Arabidopsis thaliana: one gene and its partners. The protein of the gene in region 1 purifies or fractionates together with the protein of each later gene. This does not show direct contact. Each region holds a gene or a part of one and is shown in the gene's direction. Other genes may lie near its edges. The genes, in order: CRR42, CRR6, CRR41 and ndhH.

Region 1 (4,196 bases):
AGTTCTTGATTTTGTGATCAAAATTTAATACATATGCTTGTGTGTGTTTTTTGGTGATTTCAGGACAGGAACGATCATAGCTGAGACATGGGAGGACGGACAAATGTTGAAAGATCTGAATGCTCAACTTGTAAGTTAAGCTGTGTAGCGAGGGATTTTTATCAAACTAATACCAATAAGCTTTGAAGTAACTGTACTGATTTTTCTATAAATTTGCAACGAAAAGAGACAATTGCTGGAAACCAAGGAGGCTATTGAGAGACAAAGAAAGTTACTTAAGAAACGACAAAATGGTGGTATGTTATCCCAGTATTTTTTTGTTTGTCAGTGAATCCGCAATCTCCTGTAATATATCTTGTGATTTTTTCCTTGGGCAAATTGTTATGATGTTTGGCACCCTTGGTTTTTCCATTTGGGTGTAGATAAGAATGACGGAACCGACACAGAATCAGGAGCACAGGAGGAAGATATCATCCCTGACGAGGTTTACAAGTCTCGTCTTACTAGTATTAAGCGGGTATGTTCTTTATGCATCATCTCAGCTTCTTGTTTCCTATAAGTTGATTCGGTTCTGGTTACGTATCATACATTTATTGGTTTTACCTTTCAGGAAGAGGAAGCTGTTTTGCGTGAGAGAGAAAGGTACACATTAGAGAAGGGGCTACTTATGAGGGAGATGAAACGCATACGAGATGAAGATGGTTCTCGTTTCAACCATTTCCCAGTTTTGAATAGCCGCTATGCTCTTCTAAATCTTCTTGGTAAAGGCGGATTTAGTGAAGTCTATAAGGTCAGAACATTGATAGATACTACATTCTTTTACATGTGAGAATTATTTTGCAGTAATATGATGTTATGGATTTTAAGCAGGCATATGATTTGGTGGACCATAGATATGTTGCGTGCAAGCTTCATGGTTTAAATGCTCAGTGGAGTGAAGAAAAGAAGCAAAGTTACATCCGCCATGCCAACAGGGAATGTGAGATCCATAAAAGTCTTGTGCATCACCACATTGTTCGGCTTTGGGATAAATTTCATATCGACATGCATACATTCTGCACCGTTCTGGAATATTGTAGTGGTAAATCAGAATTCTCCTATTCCTTTGTAGATCCTGGAGTACAGTTCTGAGTTCTCACTCTTATGTTTTGAATTTCTAATGCAGGGAAAGACCTTGATGCTGTATTAAAGGCAACATCTAATCTTCCTGAGAAAGAAGCAAGGATTATCATTGTGCAAATAGTTCAAGGCCTTGTATATCTGAACAAAAAGTCACAGAAGATAATCCACTATGATCTGAAGCCTGGTAATGTTCTCTTTGATGAGTTTGGAGTAGCAAAAGTAACTGATTTTGGTCTAAGCAAGATAGTGGAGGACAATGTTGGTTCTCAAGGAATGGAGCTTACATCACAGGGAGCTGGAACATACTGGTGAGCAATCTAGTTTTTGTCTCCTTGATATGGTCTATATTATTTTTGTCTCTTCTACTTCCGGACATCTTATAGCTAACAAGGTTCTATAATATAGGTACTTGCCCCCAGAATGCTTTGAGCTTAACAAAACTCCTATGATCTCATCAAAGGTCAGTGATTGGTCAATGATGTCATAATCTGATTATCTTATAGAAGTTTTGTGGTACTAAATTGTGTTGAAACTCAGGTTGATGTATGGTCAGTTGGTGTTCTGTTTTACCAAATGCTGTTTGGAAAGCGACCTTTTGGACATGACCAAAGCCAAGAACGGATACTAAGAGAAGACACAATCATTAAAGCCAAAAAGGTTGAGTTCCCAGTAACAAGACCTGCCATCTCAAATGAAGCGAAGGTAAATTAACTGTACCGGTCTTAAACATGGTTTAAGTAAAGTAGTACCAAATAGTCATGAAACTGTCTCTCCATGTTCTCACTTTTGCATTTTCTGCAGGATTTGATTCGACGGTGTCTAACATATAACCAAGAAGATAGGCCGGATGTTCTAACAATGGCACAGGATCCATATCTTGCCTACTCTAAGAAGTGAGATTGTGTAGTCTTCAAAAACAAACCAGAGATGCTAAAAGACCAGATCCTAGAATATTTTTTGGTATAGCTTATAAAGTTTCTGTTTTGTTTGTCTAAATATTTTATCTCCCGGCCCCTTGAACCATATTAATTTCGGGTGAAGTTAATGTGTCTTGTCTTCCTTTTATTATGTAACATGTTATGTATATTCTTCATGTTTTATAATAGAAGAAAGCTGAAAGTTGGAAACAGGCCCCAAATCGTTCTTGCTTCTCAGGTTTAAGACAATATGAAATGTGATCAATTGAAGAAATAAGAAATATAACAAATCCGGCTGGAGAATACTGGACTGGAACTGAACTAAACCGAAGAGTAAACCAAGACAAAACCGAAGATTGAAAATCATTGGCTTGCTAGTAAACTACTACGAGACAAAAGTCTACTTATCCCCCCACTCATACCACTAAAAAACTCACACTTGCTGGCTTCTTCTTCCATGGCTTTATCTTTTGTTTCTTCAACTAGATTCTCCAAGATGCAATATGGCATATGGCACAGTGGATCCTTCACGCAACGAGTCAGTGTGAGATGCTGTGAAATCGCAAACGAGGCTCCACGACCAAAATCGAAGCTCCAAGTAGGATCACCGATCATCATCGTCGAAGCTCCCAAAGTTATAAAAACGGCCGCTTCAATGCCTTGCCTTAGGGCCAACTCTGGCTTGGTCAAGCCTGGCGATGTTGGAAGGTCTTCTTCTTCTTCTTCTATTTTATACAGATTTTAAGACAAAACTCAGACTAATCATCTAAACAGTGTTTTCTTGCCAATTAAATTAGCTTAATTTTACTTCTCTTCTTTCTTATCCTATTGTTTTTGCAGAATCGTGTCGAGAAAACCAAAGGACTTGTGGGCAGTTAGACTCTCCATTGGAACATATCTTTTAGATGGTAAATATTTCAAAGCTTTAGAGCTTGACGAAGGAGATAGTGATTGAGAATTTGAGATCATGTCTCTAAAATTGTATAAGCAACAGAAAAATACGAATTATTATTTTAACATTTTGCCATTTTAAGTTTTGGCGCAACAATCTTATTAATGAACCGAAATTACCGAATCGAAAACCGTTAATTTGGTTTAGTGATCAACCCGAATCCAAACGGGTACAACGGGTCGTAATGCGGGTCACCAACGTTCATCGGCAACTGATCCACTGTCTTAAACCACGTCCGAGCCAATTTCCCGGTGAATCCATAATCTCCGAACAAAACATCAGCCACTCCTTGACCTTCCGTTCCCGGAAGCCACGCCGCCACTAGAGCATCGATGTTCGAAATCTGCATCACCACCGGACGTCCCGATACAACCACCACCACACATTTCACCGATGCGCACACGTTCCCGATCGTGCTCGGACCTGGTTCCGATATGGTTAAGTTCGTACTGTCTCCGAATCCCTCCGCGTACGGTTTCTCTCCGACGGCCACGATTGCGTAATCGAAGTCACCGGCCTTGACGAAATTGGTGTCGGGGTTTTGATTGTAGATAACTTGCGTCTTCGGATCCACCGTCTTCTTCACTGCGGCGAGGATCGTTGTTCCTGCAACATTCAATTTCAGACTGGTAAATATATGTTCTTCATTAGTGTTGCATATTGAAATCACAACACACAAAAAGTGGTATGAAAATGAATCTTAGAGTATGTCACTTGTTCTGAGAAACCCTAATGTTCTTCTATATGATGATGATTCATTGGAATAGAGTGAGGAAAGGTGTGTGTACCAATGGTGAGATTGTTGCCATTAAGGCCTTGCCATGTGATTGTCCAGCCACCACATTGGTATCCCAAGTTATCAGCATGTGTTCCTGCGACAAGGATCTTATTGGCTTTCTTTGGCAGAGGAAGCAACGGCTTATCTGCGTTTTCACCATTCTTCAACAACACGAGAGATTTCCTCACTGCTTCCCTTGCCAGTTCCCTGTGTTCCTGTTGAGTTTGTTCAATGTTAAGTTGGGATCTATCTTAAAACTGTTTTTTTATCTTACAGACCTTACTACCGAGCTTCTTGGCCAAGCTATGATCAGCAATGGGATTCTCAAAGAGCCCCATTGTGAATTTGACTCTTAAGATTCTCTTTACAGCATCGTCGATTCTGCTCATCGGGATGAATTTTCGCTTCACCTGACTGGTTAGCTCGT
Region 2 (4,639 bases), on another chromosome or scaffold:
TTGGGAACAGTACCCAGGTCCCAGATTGGGGCATCGAAATCGACAACCAACACTCGAAAGCGAATGCCTTTTACAACCCACAGAAGAAGAAGCGGTCAGAGGAAATAGATTTTAGGGTTTGACGGGGGAGTGAATATGTATGTCTGTCTCTGTGTTATCCAATCGCTTCCTTCCTTGTCTCATTTTTAATTGTTGTCAGTCAGTCATTTTATTATTTTATCATTATTTTCTTCAAACTAAATTTGGTAACAAAGTTTTACATTTCATTCTAATTGACCGTATTCTTACCGATTTATCTTCTGCCTTTTTAATTAAGGGATATATATAAAGAAAGCTTTTCAATTATAGAAATAAATTAAGCTGCCACATGATAACGAAATTAAAGTGTGCTTTCTATGTATTTCTCTTTCTCGTTGTTATCTTTTGTTTTGGTAATGTTTCTAGAAATGTTGGAACTTCACCGAAATAAACATGGTAACTGACTAGATTCTAAAAAATCTTGTTCAAAATTCATCATATAAAATAGACATCTGAAGATAAGAAGACTTACAAATAGAATACTTTGGTTTAATGGAAACTTTCTTTCCGTTTTTCCTCTTTTTACGCAATTGTATTTGACAAAACAAAACTAAGCAGAGTAAGCTTTTTGTTGCCGTGATCACAGCACTTTCGCCGCTTTAATGGGCCAAAAGGTGTTTTAACGTTTTACTTTATATAATTAAGATGAAATCTTCCTTCTTTGGATATAAATAATGATTTGGACAACTACTGATTTGGTCAAAACGTAAACAAAAACAAACAAACAAAGGAAAACGTCAAAAAAAAAAAAAGGTGTTATGAGTTATAAAAAATAACATTATTGGGCCGTAAGAATCCTTTTTTTCGTCTATATGGGCCGAATTGAAGTCTAAATGGGTCTCGATCTTAACTATGCCTACACAGCATAAAGAAGTTAATCACTACAACAAAATCATCATTTGGCCTTATAATAGATATTCATTCTCAGGCACTCTAAGACACTGTGAAGTGGATCTTTTGACGCTTATGTTCATCTTACTAGATTGCATAGGTGAGCTTTTTCTCTCAAATCATATTATCTTTGCCACTGCTATGGTAGAGACCTTGGGGACTTATCTTTGCCAAGGAATGTTCCATTGCATAGCTATTTAAACTTTAAAGTGAGCAGAATTCTCAGTCTTTGAGCTACTTACTTACAAAGCCTCTATTGTGCAACTCCTTTGACCCGGTACGACCTTGGAAGACAAAGAAGGCCTCACTGCTTGCAAGGGGCAATGGCGAAGAAGAAGATCAGAGACGGTCAAGCTTGCAGATGCTCCTGAAACACCTCACCAACAGTGAAGGAGATTCGACAATGCCTACATCTACATGAGACCGAGGAGGCTGACTTGAGTTGAAAACATTCCACATTAAAGAAGAGAGCTCTTCATTTTTCTGAACGATTGAAGAAATGCATTCTGCTTAACATTTGAAACCTTTACGACAGACAGCAAAATATATGTATTTGTGCGGTGAAGGAAAAAAGGATAAAATGGAAAGAAATGAAGAAAAGGCCAAAAGAAGAGGATAAAAAGAAGACTAAGACACAAAGAGAGATAGCGTCTGTGAATGGCAACAAAGGCAGTTCTTCTCCCGTGGCTTATCCCATCGCCGAGACACGTATCGCTGTTCCCAGTGGTTCAATTGCCGGCGTTGGAGACCGCCGGGTGGTGTGTAAGAAAGAGGAGGGCAGAAGACGTAGCAGTCTCCGTCGCCTTCAATCCTTCTGGCAATTTCGACATCTCTGCCTTCGAGAATGACCAAGGTTCGTACTTGCTCAATTGATTCAGAATGATAAATAAAAAAAGGCTGCTACTAATTAATTATGTGAAAGGCGTAGCAGATTCAGATAAAGTGGAACCTCCGATGCCTCCAACGACCGGCCGGTACGAAGTAGTGATCGACAACGACTCAATTGGGCGGCTTGACCTATCCCCGTTTCAGAGAGCCATCGGCATAACCTCGCCTGATGATTTTGGTGTAGCTGAACCAAAACGGTATTTGGATCGAACCATCGGATTCACCATCAATTACAAGAGAGAAGACCCCGGGGATCCGCGGGAGCTGTCAGAGTACCCGGACGTAAGACTATGGTTCGTGAGGCTCGACGCGATGTACCCTTGGCTGCCTCTGCTGCTGGACTGGCGAGCTGGAGAACTTGCTCGATACGCAGCCATGTTAGTGCCGCACCAGATGAGCTTGAGAATGGGTGTCGTTTTCAATCCGGAGGCGTTGGAGCTTTTCGTAATGAACAAAGTGTTTGTGGTTTATCCGTGGCTGAAACGGCACGGCGTCCCAAAGCCCAGGTTGAAGACGAGCGACATGGCCAGGATGCTCGGATTCGGTATCGGCGATGAGCTCTTCGACTTGATCGATCACAATGAATGAAAAACGATGTGTTCTATCTTCAAATTACATACGTGGGCCTAATTGTGGGCTTACAATGAAAAAGGCCTGGGGATGGTAATTAAGAGGATTTTTTTGGGTATTTGATACACACGTGGCGAATATTCATTGGATAAGTTGTATTAATAGCCGTAAAATCTGGGAAAATAAATTCAAAATCTCGAATATCTGAAGAGAAGAGAGAGCCCATTCAAAATTTGAAAAACAAATCAACAATTGGTTTATTCGTATCTTTCTCATTTCTCTCTAGTCTATATCGCTCTCAGAATACAATTGGAAAAAAGAACAAGGTATTTAGGAATCTCTCATTCTTGAGTAGCTAAGCATTGAGGTCTCCTTTGCGTTTATAGATTATTTTTTTTGGTTGAAATTGTTTGGTTCTGTTGGGATATGTTGTTGTGTTAGGGAAGAGAACACAAAAAGAAATGGTTAGAGAAGAGGAGAAATCGAGATGGTGGTGGTTCGAGAGCCACAAGAGCTCCAAACATTCTCAATGGCTTCAATCAACACTCGCTGGTTGGTTCTTTTTCTCACTCAGTTCTTCTCTATGTTTTGTGGTTTTTGCCAACTTTTTGGTGTGAAACGTTTGTGGTGCAGAGATTGATGCAAAGACAAAGGCAATGTTGAAGTTGTTAGACGGAAACGCAGACTCTTTCGCTCAGCGTGCTGAGACTTACTACAAGAAACGTCCTGAGCTTATCAGCTTTGTCGAAGACTTTTATCGAGCTCACCGTTCCTTAGCCGTGAACTTCGACCACCTCAAGTCTTCCGACCACTATGGATCTCGCTCCGCTAAGGTTCCCCAACAATCCATGGAGTCCGTTTGTGACAGCAATTCTCACTTTGAAGATGCCGATTCTGAGATTGAAGACCCCCTTCAAGATGATGCCTCCGCAGCTGATTGCAAAGAAGATGAGACTTGGCAATTGGAACAAGAAAGGTTGAAGCTGATCGAAGAGACTGATGCTCTGAGGAAACAGCTCTTAGACAAGGACGAAGAGAAGAGAGAGGTCATCAGACAGCTTTCTCTAACCCTTGAGACCCTCAAAGACGAGAACTTGAGCCTCAAGAGACGCCTTGCCCACCATTCTCTCAAGCAACGCACCGTTTTGGAGTTCAAGCCACTAAACAAGTTCTTTGGGAAGCTGTTTTACATTATGTGCGATGGCAACAAGGTCCTTTAGGTTGGCTCATCTACCTCATGAGCTTAGCTTCGATATTTTCTGTGGTTCATTTCACTGTTTATCAAGATATATCCTGTCCTTTCCGTGCTGTATTATAACCGGTAATTATCCTACTTAATAATGCATGCTGTTCTGATTTGTTCAATCACAAGAACCCAGTTTCAGACAAGGACATGTGATGAGTGATACATAATTGGATGATCAATCAATTTTGACTTTGAGGCACAAAAAACACACACTATCACTGCTACCAAGTACAACAACTGCGCACTAGCCCAAACTGCAGAGTGCTTTATGAGCAAATCTCACACGAACGAACACTAGAAGAAGCTATATTAATATTACATGAAAAAAATTCAGAAGAAGCAGAGAGTAAGAAAGAATACATTTGTGAATATTTGGTTTCTGCTGATGATATTGTGTAGAGTGCTGCTTACTCGCTGTTTCTATATGATTACTAGAAGAAACTGCAGAAAGCTAGTAGCAACATGAGTAGGACAAGAAGCAGAGATGAGAGTTGTGATGAGACCAAACAAACAGAGGAAGAAGCTGGAAGAGGAGATCCAACTGGAGAAACTTCGAGCAGAGGATCAGGAGTGACAGCATCTGGGTTTGGTGGACTAAGGCTTGAGGGGATTGTCGGCATGATAGACGATTCCGACGGGGAAGGAGACATTTCGCTTGAACCTGGAGTAGGGAACAGGGGAGAGGTATCTGGAGACATGGCCGGGGTAGAAGCTGAGAAACTCGATGGAGCTTCAGGCAAGAACGAAGGTGCAGCTGATATGGTGGACAGCTGAAACTCAGATGTTGAAGTGTGTAAACAGAGTGAGAGAACGGTGAAGGCAGTGAACAGAGAGACGGACATGGTTACTGTGAATGTCTCTCCTGCTTCTCTGAGAATGTTTCTGAGAGACCTTAAGAAACTGAAGAAGAAAAAGGTATACAGCTATAGAGGAGGTAAAAGACAAGATTGGTGGGTTTGGTTGTGG
Region 3 (4,629 bases), on another chromosome or scaffold:
TTATTGTTTTTGTGGGTTAATTGGAGATAAATATTATTCTATTTTTATTTTTGAAAAATTGGTTGTTAAAAATGAGACCTTATTTTTATATATACATGATTAAACTATTTTGAACTTGAATCCATTTGTTTTGGATTTACTCACTTTTCCAATGTTACTTATAGTTTCGCCAGTGGAATATAAGGTTAGAAAATATGAGAGTAAAAATCAGGAATTAGGACATGTAAAATCCAGAAATATCTGAGGACGGATCTCACGATTGATTATAAGATTCGCATTACATTTTCTCTTCATTTTTTTCAGATAAGAAAATTGGATTCTATCAATTTGTCGTCCTATTGTTCTTTTCTTGTTTGATATACAAATACGAGTCACTGATTTTTTTTAGTTGATTGGTAGAGTCTTAAAGGAAACATCAAATTCAGACAGTCCTTTTACAACCATTTCATCCATGTCGGCTCATTATTTCGCACCACAGAAGAATAACCCAAAATTATTAGAAAACTTGGACCACTATAAGCACTTGAACTGTGGTCGTGCACTGACTAATGTGAGCCCGTTTTGGTAATTCTCAGCTGTGTGCGTAATTGATGTCGGCGTCACCTTCAGAAACTTCGAAATTATGTGTGATACACCGTGTTTCATAAATTCATACACGTCATTTTAGATACAAAATTAGATATTTTCATTTGATAAAACCGAAAGAAATAATAAACTTTTTCTTTCTTGTTCTCATTTTAAGTCTCTCTTTATATCACTTTCTATATATATTGAATCATGCAAGGAATACACATAAAATACTTGTGTTCTTGTACTTGTTTGGTGACTCAAGCAAGACTCCCAAGCTATGGCGGAGAAGGTACTTTACCAAGATCTGAATTTTCATATTACTTCTCTTTTATTGATCATATCCATAATTACCCTCTAATAGAGTTACTAATTAAGGTAATAATGATCATGAAATTATATGATATGCACAAACAGGTAGTGATGATGAAATTGAAAGTGGATCTAAACTGTTCCAAATGCTACAAAAAGGTCAAGAAAGCTATCCGCAAATTCCCTCGTGAGTTTCTTTCTTTAATTTGAGTTTCTTTGTTCATTTGAATTATTGCGGGTTGAGAAGATTCTGAATCTTGATAAATGGATACGATTTTGTGGTATGTGTTGTTTTGCAAAAAAAAATAGAAATAACAGACGAATTGTTTGATGAGAAGTCCAACACGATCATCATCAAAGTAGTTTGTTACGATCCTGAGAGGCTAATGAACAAACTTTGCTACAAAGGAGACGGTTCTATCAAGTCCATCGTGATCCTTGAGCCACCCAAACCGCCTCAACCCCAGCCTCAACCACCTCAGAAGCCTACTGCCCCAGCCCCAGCCCCAGCCCAAGCCCAAGCCCCAGCTCTTGTTCGGCCGGCTCCGGTTCCTGTTCTTGTTTCGTCTTCCGCTCCTCAACCGATGCCGATGTGGCAGCCGTATCATTGTGGGCCGTATTACGAGGCCCAACAGTACCAATGTTATGGAAGGCCCGTTTACGAGAGCTGGGGAGGTGGACGACAATGTTGCCACGAAGATATGAACTCTCAAGGATGCTCCATCATGTGAAACACTGAACCAAGTCTCCTCCTACTCATATATAGACTATAGTATATACCAGCAAATAAATAACTACACGAAGTTATTTTTAATTGTCTTCGTCTTACCAGTATTTCTATTTCGAGTCCTCGTTTATGTATGTAAACACTACAGGGTTTTGTTTCTTGTGTATATCACGTTTTGGTTCTAATACAACTTTTATTTGCTCTTCTTTTCTTGGTAGTAAAATACAAATAGTAAGATTTTTCGCATAAAAATATAGTTTCTGTTAGAAAATAAAAGTATATTAGCACGAAAGAATGGAAACTAAAAACTCTGAGACCGGCCTCTCCAATGAGTGACATGAGTCGATGAATACTCAACTATTATGTTTTTACAGTTTACTTATCCACAGATGACACTGTTTCTTTCTACTGTGAAAAGAGCAGCCGTGGTGCTTACACCTCCACACGACACCGTTTAAACGGAAACTAAAAACGACGTGACGTTCTTGTCTGAAACACTTAAACGACGCTATAGTGTACTGTAACTCCAGAGAAGGCCTTATCTTTCTCCAATTCTCAAAACCCTCTTTAACACTCTTCCTCTAAGCTTTTTAAATCAATGGCTTCCACTTCCACACTTCTTCTTCCATCTCTCTCCTCTAAGAATCTTCACATCGCAGTCCCAATAAGAACCAATAGCTTCGTTCGTCGAACAACAAAGTTCTCAACAAAATGTTCGTCGAATCCAGAGTCAAAGGATCAATTCATCAATCTCACACCAGCACCTGAATCAATCAACACAACAAGCGCAGAGAAATTCCCAATAGAGAAACGAAGAAGATCAGAGATCATACGAGACAGAACACAAAGAGGAATCGAGAAACCAGAGCCACCAAACTTCGAAATCGGTTGGAAAAGAACAAAAGAGATAAACTTGGAGAAACCTAAAGGTTATGTAATAATGGATTTCTTAGAAAAGTTCGAAGCTTTAATGGCGAGAGAGTTTGGATCAAAGGAGCTTTTAGCTAAAGCTGGTGAGATTGTTGCAGAGAGAGCTAGAGAAGAAGCTGAGGTTTTGAGAGATGAAGGTAAAGTTGAAGAGAGAATGGTTACAGAGCTTTTTAGGGTTTTGAAATTGATGGAGATGGATTTAGCTATGGTTAAAGCTTCTGTTAAAGATGAAACTTTGAGTCAGAGGATTGAACAAGCTAGAGCTCGGTGTCGACAAGCTATTCTTGTTGCTAATTCTTTCTAATTCCTTCTTCTTCTACTTGCAAATTGAGTCAAAAGTCTATGAATTTTGTTTATAGTTTTACACAAAACAGAGCTTCTTCATCTGTAAAAGATCTTATTTTTTTGGTTCTGTAATCATCTCTGGATCATTCATCTGTTACTTTAATGGTAGAAGAAGGATTGAAGATGAGAGTCTCATGTGAAGAATCAAAACAAAGATTCATGCTTTTGGTTTTGCAATTTGTGAGGAAGCTTAAGGGTTTTTGGGAGGAAAAAACTTAATTAGTTGAGAAAATTTTACTTCCACTAGTTTCATATTTCAAGATATTTCACCAAGACTCAAGCTTTATTGTACACCACACATTAAAAATGCAAAGTTTAATCATTTTAACAAAAGCTTCACAAGCAGCAGTAGACAGCAACAATGGTGGCAGTCAGATTCTACGCTGTAGAGATGTCGCTACCATGTTTATGTCCATGCCCATCATCGCCGATTTCTCTTTCATTGTGTTCTCCGAGATTCAATCTTCTTAACACAACAAGCAGGAGACTAGGTTTGTCTAGAAACTGTAGAACTCTGCGAATCAGTTGTTCATCTTCATCTACTGTCACTGACCAAACTCAACAATCGTCTTTTAATGATGCTGAGTTGAAACTCATTGACGCTTTGATCGGAATTCAAGGCCGTGGCAAATCTGCTTCTCCTAAACAGCTCAATGTGTGTAAAAACTTTAAACTTTCTTTAATTTTCCGTCGTGTTTATGATTTGAGAGATTCTCTGTTGTAGGATGTTGAATCTGCTGTGAAAGTTCTTGAAGGTTTAGAAGGCATTCAAAATCCTGTATGAAATGTTTTCTTGTGAATCCTTTTATCTTCAAATTACCAAATTCTGTTATGTTTTGTTCTTTGACTCATTTGGTTGTCTTTTGGGGAATGTTGTTTAAATGTTTAGACAGATTCTGACCTAATCGAAGGTCGTTGGCGATTGATGTTCACCACAAGACCTGGAACTGCATCTCCAATCCAAGTCAGTTCTTCTCACACATTCATCATCATATCTCCATTTTTTCTAGATGATTGTAATTTGTGTGTAAGAAGAAGAGCAATGGAAGGATTTGTCTCTGCAGAGAACATTTACAGGAGTTGATGTGTTCACTGTGTTTCAAGATGTATACTTGAAGGCAACAAACGATCCTCGTGTTTCAAACATTGTTAAATTCTCTGATTTCATTGGAGAGCTGAAAGTTGAGGTGAGTTTCTTCACTAAAGTCTTTGCATCAAAAGACTGAGATGTTTATACTTTGAATTGTTTCATTTTACAGGCAGTTGCGTCGATCAAAGATGGGAAACGAGTTTTATTCCGTTTTGATAGAGCCGCTTTTGATTTGAAGTTCCTTCCTTTCAAAGTTCCATATCCAGTTCCTTTTAGACTTCTTGGTGATGAAGCAAAAGGTTGGCTAGATACTACTTATTTGTCGCCTTCAGGTAACCTTAGGATTTCTAGGGGAAACAAGGTAAATGAGTTTCTTGATTCTCAAAAAGAAAATTAAAGCTTTATAGCATTTTTATCCATGAGGCTGTATATTTGTAGCGCAGGGAACAACGTTTGTTCTTCAGAAAGAAACCGTGCCTAGGCAGAAATTGTTAGCCACCATATCTCAAGACAAAGGAGTAGCTGAGGTAATGTGTCATGCCTTCAAGAAATCTGAAAACAATCGATAGTTTCGGTTTGAAATGGAACCAATGGATCGTTTAGTATAAACACAGGCTATCGATGAGTTTCTTGCGTCTAATTCTAATTCCGCGGAAGA
Region 4 (4,723 bases), on another chromosome or scaffold:
ACCAAACTGCGTTATGATTCTAAAATAATTGAGTCATCAAAAAAAATTTGGCAGACATTCAAAAGAAAAAATACCCGATTAATTCGTAAATCCATTTTTTTTTTTAAATTTTGCATCGAACAAATGTCTATAGCTATTTTTCTAGGTATCATTAATATTCCAAGAATTACTACACAACTTTTTTTTGAATCAACAAAAAAAATTCTTGATAAATATATTTACAAGAATGAAGAAAATGGAGAAAAAAAAAAAAATACTCTTTATTTTATTTCGACTATAAAAAATTTAATATCCAATAAAAAAAAAATGAGTTATGACCTATGCTCTTTATCACAAGCATATGTATTTTACAAATTATCACAAATTAAAGTTAGTAACTTTTGTAAATTAAAGGCTGTTCTTGAATATAACATATGCATAACATCCTTTTTTGTTAAGAATAAAATAAAGGTTTTTTTTCAAGAACACGGAATCTTTCATTATGAATTGAAAAATAAAACCTTTTTGAATTCCGAAGTAAATCAATGGAAAAACTGGTTACGAAGTCAGTATCAATACAATTTACCCCAGATTTCATGGGCTAGATTAGTAACCCAAAATTGGAAAAATAAAATAAATAAAGATTCTCTAGTTCTAAACCCAAGTTTAACCAAAGAGGATTCATATGAAAAAAAGAAATTTGATAATTATAAAAAACAAAAATTTTTTGAGGCCGACTCATTATTAAATCCAAAACATAATGTAAAAAAAGATTCTATATATAATCTTTTTTGCTATAAATCTATTCATTCTACAGAAAAAAATTTTGACATGTCTATAGGCATTGCCCTAGATAATTGTTTAGTCTCTTCTTTTCTAGAAAAATATAATATTCGGGGTATGGGGGAAATTCGGCATAGAAAATATTTGGATTGGAGAATTCTTAACTTTTGGTTTACAAAAAAAGTAACTATTGAGCCTTGGGTTGATACTAAGAGTAAAAAAAAATATATTAATACTAAAGTTCAGAATTATCAAAAAATTGATAAAATAACGCAGACGGATCTTGCTAATAAAAAAAGAAACTTTTTTGATTGGATGGGAATGAATGAAGAAATACTAAATCAGCGTATAACAAATTTTGAATTTTTTTTCTTTCCGGAATTTTTCTTATTTTCTAGTACATATAAAATGAAACCATGGGTCATACCAATCAAATTACTTCTTTTAAATTTTAATGAAAACATAAATGTTAATAAAAAGATCATTCGAAAGAAAAAAGGTTTTATACCATCAAATGAAAAAGAATCCCTTCGATTTTATAATCTGAATAAAGAAGAAAAAGAATCGGCCGGTCAAGTAGAACTTGAATCAGATAAAGAAACAAAAAGAAATCCCGAAGCAGCTCGATTAAACCAAGAAAAAAATATTGAAGAAAATTTTGCAGAATCAACAATAAAAAAACGTAAAAATAAAAAACAATACAAAAGTAATACAGAAGCGGAACTTGATTTATTTCTGACAAGATATTCGCGTTTTCAATTGCGATGGAATTGTTTTTTTAATCAAAAAATTCTCAATAATGTAAAAGTATACTGTCTCTTGGTTAGACTAAACAATCCAAACGAAATAGCGGTATCTTCTATTGAAAGAGGAGAGATGAGCCTAGACATTCTAATGATTGAGAAAAATTTCACTTTTGCAAAATTAATGAAAAAAGGAATATTGATTATTGAACCTGTGCGTTTGTCTGTACAAAACGATGGACAACTTATTATATATAGAACCATAGGTATTTCATTGGTTCATAAAAATAAACACAAAATAAGTAAAAGATACAAAAAAAAAAGCTATATTAATAAAAAATTTTTTGAAAAATCCATTACAAAATATCAAAACAAAACTGTAAATAAAAAAAAAAATAATTATGATTTCTTTGTCCCTGAAAAAATTCTATCCCCTAAACGACGTAGAGAATTTCGAATTCTAATTTGTTTCAACTTAAAAAAAAAAAATGCTAGGGATACAAATTCAAGATTTGATAAGAATATTCAAAACTTGACCACCGTTTTGCATAAAAAGAAAGATCTTGATCTTGATAAGGATAAAAATAACTTAATTAATTTAAAATCCTTTCTTTGGCCCAATTTTAAATTAGAAGATTTAGCTTGTATGAATCGCTATTGGTTTAATACTACTAACGGAAATCATTTCAGTATGATAAGAATACGCATGTATACGCGATTTCCAATTCCTTAATCATAAATACTTTTTACTATATATAATAAGTTACGGTATATGAAAACAACTATATGCACAAATATGAGGGATTGTTTTAAATTAAATCTTTATACATGAGATTAATTTAATCAATCACATAGATACCAATTATAGCGGATTCATAAATAAATTAACAGAATCCTTCTTTTTGAGATCTAAATTTAGATTTTTTTCTAAAATGAAGAATTAAGAGGTTGATAATTAAATTAAGATCCTTGTACAAAAAAACTACCATTATTATTACTGATCAGTAAAATTAATATCTTTCAATTCATATTAAAAGGGGAAGGATTTCTTTTTATGATAAAAAATATAGTCATTTCATTTGAAGAACAAAAAGAAGAAAGCAGGGGATCCGTTGAATTTCAAGTATTTAGTTTCACTAATAAGATACGAAGACTTACTTCACATTTGGAATTGCACAGAAAAGATTATTTATCTCAGCGGGGTCTACGAAAAATTCTGGGAAAACGTCAACGACTGCTGGCTTATTTGTCAAAAAAAAATAGAGTACGTTATAAAGAATTAATTAATCAGTTGAATATTCGGGAATTAAAAACTCGTTAAATTCAAAAATTGTGAATTAGTGAATTTTTTAGATCTTGAATTTTTTGATAAACTTCTTTATTCAGAAATCTAATTCATGCCAGAACGAATCAAGGAAAAACTTATGAAGAGACCAGTTACAGGAAAAGATCTTATGATAGTCAATATGGGACCTCACCACCCATCCATGCATGGTGTTCTTCGCTTAATTGTTACTCTAGATGGTGAGGATGTTGTTGACTGTGAACCCATATTAGGTTATTTACACAGAGGAATGGAAAAAATTGCAGAAAACCGAGCAATTATACAATATTTACCGTATGTAACGCGATGGGATTATTTAGCTACTATGTTTACAGAAGCAATAACAGTAAATGGACCAGAACAATTGGGAAATATTCAAGTTCCTAAAAGGGCCAGCTATATCAGAGTAATTATGCTGGAATTGAGTCGTATAGCTTCTCATCTGTTATGGCTCGGCCCTTTTATGGCAGATATTGGTGCACAGACTCCCTTTTTCTATATTTTCAGAGAACGAGAATTTGTATATGATCTATTCGAAGCTGCCACCGGTATGAGAATGATGCATAATTTTTTTCGTATTGGAGGAATAGCGGCTGATTTACCTTATGGTTGGATAGATAAATGCTTGGATTTTTGTGATTATTTTTTAACAGAGGTTGTTGAATATCAAAAACTCATTACACGAAATCCTATTTTTTTAGAACGGGTTGAAGGAGTTGGGATTATTGGTGGGGAAGAAGCAATAAATTGGGGTTTATCCGGACCAATGCTACGCGCATCCGGAATACCATGGGATCTTCGTAAAATTGATCGTTATGAGTCTTACGATGAATTTGAATGGGAAATTCAATGGCAAAAACAAGGAGATTCATTAGCTCGTTATTTAGTACGACTTAGCGAAATGACAGAATCCATAAAAATTATTCAACAGGCTCTGGAAGGACTTCCAGGGGGTCCCTATGAGAATTTAGAAAGCAGGGGCTTTGATAGAAAAAGGAATCCAGAATGGAATGATTTTGAATATCGATTCATTAGTAAAAAACCTTCTCCTACTTTTGAATTATCAAAACAAGAACTTTATGTAAGAGTTGAAGCTCCAAAAGGGGAGTTGGGAATTTTTCTCATAGGAGATCAAAGCGGTTTTCCTTGGAGATGGAAAATACGACCACCGGGTTTTATTAATTTGCAAATTCTTCCTGAACTAGTTAAAAGAATGAAATTGGCTGATATTATGACGATACTCGGTAGCATAGATATAATTATGGGAGAAGTTGATCGTTAAAATGATAATTTATGCAACAGCAGTCCAAACTATAAATTCTTTTGTTAAATTGGAATCTTTAAAAGAGGTCTATGGACTCATATGGATATTTGTCCCTATATTTTCTCTTGTATTGGGAATCATAACAGGTGTACTAGTAATTGTGTGGTTAGAAAGAGAAATATCTGCAGGGATACAACAACGTATTGGACCTGAATACGCCGGCCCGTTGGGAATTCTTCAAGCTCTAGCCGATGGGACAAAACTACTTTTCAAAGAAAATCTTCGTCCATCTAGAGGAAATACTCCTTTATTTAGTATTGGACCATCTATAGCAGTTATCTCTATTTTACTAAGTTATTCAGTAATTCCCTTTAGCAATCACCTTGTTTTAGCGGATCTCAATATCGGTATTTTTTTATGGATTGCCATCTCAAGTATTGCTCCTATTGGACTTCTTATGTCAGGATATGGATCAAATAATAAATATTCTTTTTTAGGTGGTCTGCGAGCTGCTGCCCAATCGATTAGTTATGAAATACCATTAACTCTATGTGTTTTATCAATATCTCTACGTGCGATTCGTTGAAACAGAAACGTTTATTTTTACTATTCCGTTTCTTCTAGACGAAT

The links.
Region 2: the proteins of CRR42 (region 1) and CRR6 purify together in Arabidopsis thaliana (affinity purification with mass spectrometry; one study listed by BioGRID). This does not show direct contact.
Region 3: the proteins of CRR42 (region 1) and CRR41 purify together in Arabidopsis thaliana (affinity purification with mass spectrometry; one study listed by BioGRID). This does not show direct contact.
Region 4: the proteins of CRR42 (region 1) and ndhH purify together in Arabidopsis thaliana (affinity purification with mass spectrometry, with the first as the bait; one study listed by BioGRID). This does not show direct contact.

What each region holds. Positions count from the first base shown.
Region 1 is NC_003076.8:7,100,952-7,105,147, forward strand, and holds CRR42 (DUF3148 family protein), read left to right. Parts: upstream 1-2,432; 5' UTR 2,433-2,496; coding exon 2,497-2,747; coding exon of another isoform or gene 2,748-2,784; intron 2,785-2,879; coding exon 2,880-2,994; downstream 2,995-4,196. Other genes in the region: TSL (Protein kinase superfamily protein), read left to right, coding at 64-130, 227-296, 423-517, 611-790, 871-1,081, 1,166-1,430, 1,528-1,582, 1,660-1,824 and 1 more; AT5G20940 (Glycosyl hydrolase family protein), read right to left, coding at 3,125-3,597, 3,780-3,984, 4,048-4,196. UniProt on the Arabidopsis thaliana protein: Required for both formation and activity of the chloroplast NAD(P)H dehydrogenase (NDH) complex of the photosynthetic electron transport chain.
Region 2 is NC_003071.7:19,613,115-19,617,753, forward strand, and holds CRR6 (chlororespiratory reduction 6), read left to right. Parts: upstream 1-1,542; 5' UTR 1,543-1,626; coding exon 1,627-1,822; exon of another isoform or gene 1,823-1,848; coding exon of another isoform or gene 1,849-1,900; coding exon 1,901-2,445; 3' UTR 2,446-2,655; downstream 2,656-4,639. Other genes in the region: NET3C (Kinase interacting (KIP1-like) family protein), read left to right, coding at 2,889-2,979, 3,061-3,647; AGP26 (arabinogalactan protein 26), read right to left, coding at 4,105-4,515; AT2G47935 (uncharacterized protein), read left to right, coding at 4,136-4,435, 4,475-4,607. UniProt on the Arabidopsis thaliana protein: Required for both formation and activity of the chloroplast NAD(P)H dehydrogenase (NDH) complex of the photosynthetic electron transport chain. May function in assembly or stabilization of the NDH complex.
Region 3 is NC_003070.9:18,932,138-18,936,766, forward strand, and holds CRR41 (potassium/sodium hyperpolarization-activated cyclic nucleotide-gated channel protein), read left to right. Parts: upstream 1-2,161; 5' UTR 2,162-2,204; coding exon 2,205-2,840; 3' UTR 2,841-3,162; downstream 3,163-4,629. Other genes in the region: AT1G51090 (Heavy metal transport/detoxification superfamily protein), read left to right, coding at 848-859, 985-1,066, 1,189-1,610; AT1G51110 (Plastid-lipid associated protein PAP / fibrillin family protein), read left to right, coding at 3,243-3,536, 3,606-3,659, 3,771-3,845, 3,946-4,068, 4,141-4,332, 4,415-4,498, 4,586-4,629. UniProt on the Arabidopsis thaliana protein: Required for both formation and activity of the chloroplast NAD(P)H dehydrogenase (NDH) complex of the photosynthetic electron transport chain.
Region 4 is NC_000932.1:121,399-126,121, reverse strand, and holds ndhH (NADH dehydrogenase subunit 7), read left to right. Parts: upstream 1-2,929; coding exon 2,930-4,111; downstream 4,112-4,723. Other genes in the region: rps15 (ribosomal protein S15), read left to right, coding at 2,560-2,826; ndhA (NADH dehydrogenase subunit 1), read left to right, coding at 4,113-4,665. UniProt on the Arabidopsis thaliana protein: NDH shuttles electrons from NAD(P)H:plastoquinone, via FMN and iron-sulfur (Fe-S) centers, to quinones in the photosynthetic chain and possibly in a chloroplast respiratory chain.